Linked DNA regions of Macaca mulatta. The protein of the gene in region 1 purifies or fractionates together with the protein of each later gene. This does not show direct contact. Links are inferred from orthologs where the notes say so. Each region holds a gene or a part of one and is shown on either strand. Other genes may lie near its edges.

Region 1 (3,559 bases):
GTTCTCGGCCTTGTGTCCTGAGTGTCTGTCGGGCAGTGGCAGGGAGGACGAGGAGGCCGAGGGGTCCAGGGGGACGCTCTCCATGTTCTCTGGCTCCAGGTCCAGCTCCTCCGGCTCGGGCAGCTTGTTCTCCTCACTGTAGTAGAAGGAGACCTCCCGGAAGCCAGGCTCCATCTCGTCTTTGATGCTGCTGATGATCTCCAGGAAGGAAGGCCTCATCTTGGGGTTGTACTGCCAGCACATGCGCATCAATTCAAACCTGCAGCCAAGACACATGGAAGGGGGGTCCAAACTGGGAGGGCGTATGTGGCCAAGAGGCTTCATGGGCCGCCTGCAGTGGTTTCCCACCTATAAGCGTATGGTGGGAGCACTGAATACAACCCTACTGTCCCTCTCCGTCCCTGGCTTTCTGCCTGGATGGCCCAAGTGGCCTTCAGAGTCTCCTGTTTTACCTCGTATGGTTCCGTTCACTTCACTCAGCACTACCACAGTACAAAACCCAAACTCTCCTTTCCCAAGAAGCACTAATCTAGGTCCGCACTGTCCATCGTTACAGGTATTATTTATGGTGTCAGTGCTAAGAAATAAAAATAAGCAGTTTTCTATCTGAGACATCTCATGCAGCCACTGCTGAAACATCCTTTCCAGAATTAGAAAGCAGGAAACCCCCGGTTTCTAAGAAGGCTGATGAGTGACCGCAGCTTCCCCAACGCTCTCTCTCCAGGTCCCACCTGTTATTTCTAAGCTTCCTCCTGGTGCAGGGCTACCCCTGGCAGAGGACCAAAGGAAGAAGGCACCATGAGGCCAGGCTTGCAACACGAAGAAATACACACTCCGAGTCTGCTGCTGTCTCCATCTAGCACCTGCTTGCTCCAGCCCTGCACAGGCAAGCCCCAGCTGATGAGTCAGGCTGTTCTGGACCAAACAAGAGGCCCAGTGTAGACCCGAAGCCAGATTCCAATGAGCCAGCAAGGAGAGCCCTGGGCACGAGTCCACTCCACAAGCAAGGACAGGCAGAACAGGATGACGCTTGTGCTGTGTCTTGGTCGCATTGGCTGGGCTCCGACAGCACCTGGGCTGCAAATATCTGTGAGGCCCTCAGAGTCGCATGGGACAAAGGAAGTCTTGCCAGCTGTGGCCAGGGCCCCCCACGAAAACAGTCAGCCACACGCGGACAAGGAAAGCCGGCTGCCCTGACCCAGGAAAGGCCCGGGCTTTGACAAGCTTCCAGAACGCAGAAAGACCCAGGTAAACAGACTTTTGGGGCAAAAAGGTACAGCTGGCTACCGTCCAGGGCTGGCCATAGTTCTGAGGAGTGACCGCCAACAGCCCTCTTACGTGAGCGTGAAACCAAAGTGCCTTCCTTTCCACCTCTGTTCTCACCAGGAAGCTCTCCTCTTTGTTTTAAAATTCTTCCTAAAAGAGATGCTTTTCCATAAAAGTGGCCACATAGAACTCTCCACATCTAGGAAACTCAAAGCACCCAATGGCATCTAGCCTCCTGTCAGGCCGGCTGCTTAACCACAGACCACCTGCCCATCTCTGGCTTTCAGGGAAAATTCCAAGGGGAGGCCCCTGATGTAAGATAAGCCACTAGGCCTGGAAGCTGGCCTGCCAAGAGAAGGGCTCTAATGGCCACCTGGCAGCTTCCTTCAGATGGAGACGGTGCAACCTTCAGGGAGGGTGGGCCTAGGTGTGAGGGAGAGCCATCCAGAATCCACTAGAATTCAGCGTTCTGGAGCCTGGGGGCCTGCATCTCCACAGGGTCTAACCCGGGGCTACCCACCTCTGCACATCCGCTGCACTGGCATGGGCCATGCTCCCTCATTTCCATGTGGGCTGCAGCTGCTTTCCAGCTACAACTACCAGCTGAGGACATTAGGACAGAGACCGTGGCCTGCAAGTCTAAAAATGCTTATTTACCATATGGCCCTTTACAGAAGGAAGGTTGCGGGTTCCTGTTCTGGGGGTAAAGGAATTAGACAAAATATGAAGCACCCCACAGTATGCTTCTTAGATATGGAGAGTTCCATGTGGCCACTTTTCCGGAAAAGCATCTCTTTAGCCACCATTTTAAGTCTACCCCACAGCAGAATGCCGTGCGCACACTAGGTGCCAGGCAGTGAGGCAGTTATGTGTGTGAACTGATGAAGTCCTCACGAGTTTGTGAAGCAGGTGCTACTGACTATAATATACACCCATGTTACAGACGGGGGAACAGAAGCACTCAGACATTAAATAATTTGTCCAAGGTTACGAAATTCATAAGGGTGGAGCTGGGATGGAGTTCTCTGTGCAACAGGATGACTACACTTTGATTGCCAACGACCCCGGAAAAAGGAATTTTCTCTTAATCTAAGTAAGAGTAACCCTGGGCCCACCAGGAGACCCTCCCTCGCTTAACTGTCCAAGGGACAGTCACAGATGTCACAGGGATGTGCTTTGCAGTGATAAAAACTGGCAGCTTGATGACAAATAAGCCTGCCTTTCCATACTCCCCATCACTGCCTAAGAAAAACGATCGGGGTTAAAAAGAATTAAAATAGGCCATAATGACATGAAATGCATCTCCATATGGCTGGGATGTGAACTCCTCTCCAGCTGACTTGCCCCTGGGCAGAAGTGTACCCGGGCCAAAAGCATGAGATGTGCTTGGCTTTGTGCCCTGTGGCCGGGGACTGAGGAGGTGCCACTGGAGGGGCAGCGAGGCAGTGACATCAGCACAAACAAGCCATGTGATGCCTCTTTTAAACCATTCCAGAGTAACAACCCTTCCAGGGCTGCCCAAAAAAGGAAGTCTTTTTTGCTCTGTGGGATTCAAGACCTTGTTTACTATTTCCACACATACAAAAAATCTCCATTAGACTCTAGAAGGATGTGTGAGCTGATAAAACTCATCTTTTAAAAAGCACCTTTTTTTTTTTTTCCCCATGGGTCAGCTCTGGCAAGTCTGGAGCCATCCTTCTCGAATGCTCTCCCCTTTGGGGGACACATACCCGGCCCTTCTGGAACAGGGACAAGACTCAAATGGAATTCCTGCCCTGCTGGGAAGCAGCCTCCTGGGGGCCAGCTGTGCGCCCTGGAGGCTGGGTGATGGTCAGCAGGATGAGCACACGGAGGTGCCTCTGTATTCCCATTCCACTCTTGGCCCTGATGTCCTGAACTGGACAGGCTGTGACCTGTGTGGGATATCAGCAGGCCACGAGGCACCCGCACATTCCCGCATGCTGCCGACGCTCACCGGATTCCCAGAGGACCTGCAGGGCTGAATGTGTCTCTCTCCTGGCAGTCCTCAACAGTGAGGGTTGTCTTAGGAACCACGCCTCAGCCAGGAGGACATGGGGCCTGTGTGCCTCCGTGAGCTCACTGGGAATAACTGAGCAGGAGCGCCCTTCCTGCCTGTTTGCATCCCACTCAAGCACTCGATTCCCGCAGAACCAAACTGGGATTCCAGCAATGGGAAAAAATACAAAAAACCATCAGATTTCACTAAGTTTGTTTCAGACTCATCTATTAGTTGATAATGCTCCAGGCTAAAAGTTCAGATTCCCTCCTGAAT
Region 2 (4,272 bases), on another chromosome or scaffold:
TGGAGAGATCCATTGGAGATCATATGGTTTGGTCAAACCTGTTTTATAGGTGGGGAAACTGATGTGGAGAGTGGCAGGACCTGGCCTCACCATCCTGGTTAGGGATCTCCTGTCATCAAAAAGATTCTAGTCTGCTCCTTTCCAGATCTCTGAGCCCTGCAGAAACAACAGGTGGCTTCCTCTTCTTCCCCTGTGGAGGGTGAAGCCCAGAGGCCAAGACTGGGAGGAGGGTTCTGGGCCTTCCTCCATATTCTCTAGCTCCTAACATTGCCCAGAGGTGGGCCACCCTGCCTACCCATCAGCCTTCCCCTGCCCCTCTGCCAAATCTGGACATAATTATAGTAATGATACTGCATATAAACAGTATAGGTAACTGCTTCTGAGCATGATTACAGGAGATGTTTACACACTCACAACAGCATCAGAGTAAATGATAGCTTCCTCCCTTAATACTTAGACCTTTCAGGGATAGTTAGCCAAATCTCAGCAGTGAGGGTGTGGGAAAGACCTTACAATTTCCCACTACCTGCAAAGCAGGAAGGCACCTCAGACAAAGCAGCGTCCCAGCCAAGATTTCACAGGACATCAAGAAGCCTGCAGAGAAGTGGGCTAACATCTACTGGGCACCTACTGTATGCAGGCACTTGGGGAGGCCAGCAAACAAGCAAGTTCTTTCAACCTATTAATTCTGCAGGCTGATATTAGTGTATCCTCACTTTACAGGTGGCCATGGAGCTAGGCATGGGCACTTTCCACGGTGCTACCCGGTCACATCAGCGGGCCAGCTCTGCCCTCTTCCTTTATCGCCTCTTCTCACTTCTCGCAGCTTCCCTTTCCTGGGCGGCTTCCTGCAGCCCTTGCTGGTCGCGGGTCTCCGCTCAGTTCCCCAGTGTCAAGGCCGTCTACTGCCCCCTCCACCCCTTCTTCCTGTCTCTGTTGGGTGACTGGGTGTTATCTCTCCAGTAGAAGGGGGTGGGGTGGGGTGGAATGGGGAAGGGTGGAGCACAGGGCGAAGGCCTTGCCAGGCATCCCGGGGTCTCCAGCTAGGCGAGCGGCCGCAGAGAGCGCGGCCTCGGGGTCGCCAGACCCTCGGCTTCCAACCACACGCACACACAAAGGCTGCCCCGGCATGCGCGGGAGAGCGCGCTCGCACCCACGGCCGTGCGCACACACGCACAACTGCACAAAGACGTGCACACTCCTCCATCCACACCAATACACTCCCAATAGGGCCCGCACACAGCCGTGCGCCCTCACGTACACCACACCACCACCACCATACAAACACACACACACTCACTCATACGGACTCGCACGCGGGTGGACCCCTCCCCCACCACAAACGCCGACCTTGGGGCCTTGACGCGTCCTGCAGCGCTGCCCCGGCTCGCTGGGCGGCGCGCGCACACGCAGACGCACGAGCGCGCGCACACACACACACACCCCGCGCGGTTCCACGCCCCTGACCGCGGCCCGGGCGCTGCGCTGCTCGGCGCGGCGGGAGGCGGGCGGGGACCGGGGGCGGGGGCGGGGGCGGGGGCGGGGGCGGGGGCGGCGGCGGCCGGGAGAGCGGAGAAGGCGGAGCAGGGAGCCGGGAGCGGGCTGGCCCGCGCTCCTCCTGCTGGCCGGGGATTTTCCAGCCTGGGTGCTGACGCCGCGGACCTCCCTGCGGCCGTCGCGGACCATGGGCGACAAAGGGACCCGGTGAGTGCAGGGCGGTCGCCCGGCGTGGGGCGTGTGGGGGCGACCTCGGCGAGGGCACGGGCGGGGGCTCCGATTGCGTCCTGGTTCTGTGTTCGCGGCCATCCCGGGATCTAGTACCAGCCCTCCTCCACCCGAGGTCTCCTGCGTGGTCTCCCCGGCAGGGCCGTGGGCGAGGGGGACCCAAAGGGCGAGGGCCGGGCCGCCCCATGTGGGCCGCGGCTCCTGGCCCGGACACACTCACAGCTTGCTGATACCCAGCATTGGCCGGCAGCCGCAGAAACGCGCGGGGGCAGGTTGACACACAATACACGCACGGGCACACTAACCCGTGGCACAGGCATGCTGGCGCACACACTGGCAGCCACTGGCACACGCTCATCACACACAGTGGCACGCCGTCATACACGCCTCGGTCAACACATTCTTGCTTACAGCCTTGTTGGCATGAACAGCTCACACTCCAACACACACCAATTCTAACACACCCTCGTGCTAGCACACACGTGTGGGCATACACTGATACGCAAACTGTCACCTGCACTCGCTGTAGCAAACACTCTTGCTGGTACACACATCACCCTCACTAGCACACACACTTGTGCTGGCATGTCTCACCAACACAGTGGAGCGCAAGGCCACACCAACACTGACCCCCACAGACACAATCAGACTAATGCTTGCAAAGACTGGCACCCCGCAGGCACGAGCTGCTAGCCGGAGGCCCGCTGACACACACGTTCCAGGCCCCACATGGCCAGAAGTGGAAACACACATCACACGGGGTAGAACGCTCCCCACTGCCCCCAGCCTGGGGAAAACAGATCCCATCCCATCCGAATAGATCGCATCCATCTACTCTGTTCCCTTTCCCTCTGACCTCCTGAGGAGTGGCTGGCCAGGGGCTGTTTTGAACCTAGGGCTGGGAGAACCCCTCCCGTTCTAGAACCTGGCCTGAAATACTCAGAAAGAAACGGTCTATGCCTCTGAAAGGGGAAAGTGGGACAGAAGGAGGAGGGGGCTGGAGCAGGACAGCCCCTGGGGGCAGCCCTTCAGACAGGACCAGCCCTTCAGACAGGACCAGCCCTGGTCAAGGGCTCAGCATTGCCACCCTATTTTCCCCGTTGCCCTCCCCACCCAAGTGGGCACAGCAGCCTCTTCCTGGGCTCCCCCTCTTTCTCATTGTTTTCTGTCTTTCTCCTCTCCTATTCTTGTGCCTGACTTCTGCCTCCTCCCTTTCCTCCCCTCTCCTCTCCTCGGTTCCATTTATTATTAAGCTCTTGCTGTATACTAGGCATAGTGTGGGTAATCAAAGATGCGCAAGGCCCACTCCTCTGAAGGAGCTAACAGACTAGAGAGACACACCCCAGTGGGCACCACCTTTCAGGGCCACTGACAAAGCCATTTCTCACGTACTGCCATCTGAGACTCTCTCTCAACAGTGTGAGAAAGGGCTTCCAGAGATTATTTCTATTTTCTAGAGGAGGAAACTGAGGCTCAGAGGCAACTTAGGCTCTTAATGTTTAGAAATTACTTTCCAGCCATCCTCCTGACAGCTCTTCCAGGAGGTTAATTTTCCTCTTCCTGTTTTCTAGCAGAGGAACCAGAGAGCTGGAGAGGTCATGTGATTTGCCTAAGGTCAAAAGAGGCCAGAGGCAGGGCAGAGGCTGGAGTCCACTTGGTCATGTCTCTGTGGATGGCCCTAGGGCACTACCAGGCCCCACATGGGCCAGGGAGGGGTGCCCTGCTCTGTGCTGGAGGCCCAGGCTTTGGGGGAGACAGCAGAAGATCATGCTGTGTCTGCATGCATCTTGATGGCTAGTCCCCATTGCAGCTGGCTGGCCAGCACTGTGACCTAGGCCTCTGTCCTCAGTAGGAAGGTATGTGACTCCCTCCCCAGCCACATCCATCTTGACCCATGAGGTCAGGCTTTTCTTCCTGCAGGGTATAGCAGGGAGTTGGAGCCATTCTCCACTCCTCCTGTCCTTCCTAGGCTGCCTTGTGATTGGGGTAACTCAGCCTCTCTTGGGTCTCTCTGTACCTCTCTGTGACTTGGGGGATAAGTGTCATTGCTGTCCTGCTGACATGATTGTCAGGAAGATGTGGACACCATGGGCTTCCAGGCACCTGTTGGAGACCCTGTCTCTGAGGCCAAGATATTTTCCATGACTCCCCCTGCCCTGCCTTGAACTCACTGCTGGACCGTTGGGACACTGGGCAATTGCCTTTACTTTTCCGGACCTTAGTTTCCCATCTGTAAACTGGAGCTATCAATACTTAACATTTTAAGGCTTCTCTTGTACTTACTGACTTCACTGGGCAGGGGAAGAGGCACTGCCTGAAGCCTGGAGCCAAGGCCCAGCTAAATCCACCTGATAGTGGCCCTGACCTCCCCCTCAGACTCTCCTGCAGCCCCATGAGGGCTTTCTGTCCCTTTCCAGACAGTTTGCTAAGTAATTTGGAAAAGAAGGGCAAAATCGGTAATGGGCTGTACCTTGTCTTTTTCCGTAAGCCATGAGATTCTACTTTATCTATGACTTAGAGGAGGAATCTGAAGATATCGAAAACTGA

Evidence for each region. Proteins that work in one complex are often made in the same cells at the same time.
Region 2: the proteins of IGF1R (region 1) and ARRB1 purify together in Homo sapiens (affinity purification with western blotting; 3 studies listed by BioGRID and IntAct, with this or other methods). This does not show direct contact. The link is inferred for Macaca mulatta from reciprocal best matches to the Homo sapiens genes IGF1R and ARRB1.

The regions. Positions count from the first base shown.
Region 1 is NC_133412.1:89,200,234-89,203,792, reverse strand, and holds part of IGF1R (insulin-like growth factor 1 receptor precursor), read right to left. Parts: intron 260-3,559; coding exon 1-259. UniProt on the Homo sapiens protein: Receptor tyrosine kinase which mediates actions of insulin-like growth factor 1 (IGF1). Binds IGF1 with high affinity and IGF2 and insulin (INS) with a lower affinity. The activated IGF1R is involved in cell growth and survival control.
Region 2 is NC_133419.1:75,743,697-75,747,968, reverse strand, and holds the start of ARRB1 (beta-arrestin-1), read left to right. Parts: upstream 1-1,446; 5' UTR 1,447-1,684; coding exon of another isoform or gene 1,685-1,704; exon of another isoform or gene 1,705-1,735; intron 1,736-4,272. UniProt on the Homo sapiens protein: Functions in regulating agonist-mediated G-protein coupled receptor (GPCR) signaling by mediating both receptor desensitization and resensitization processes.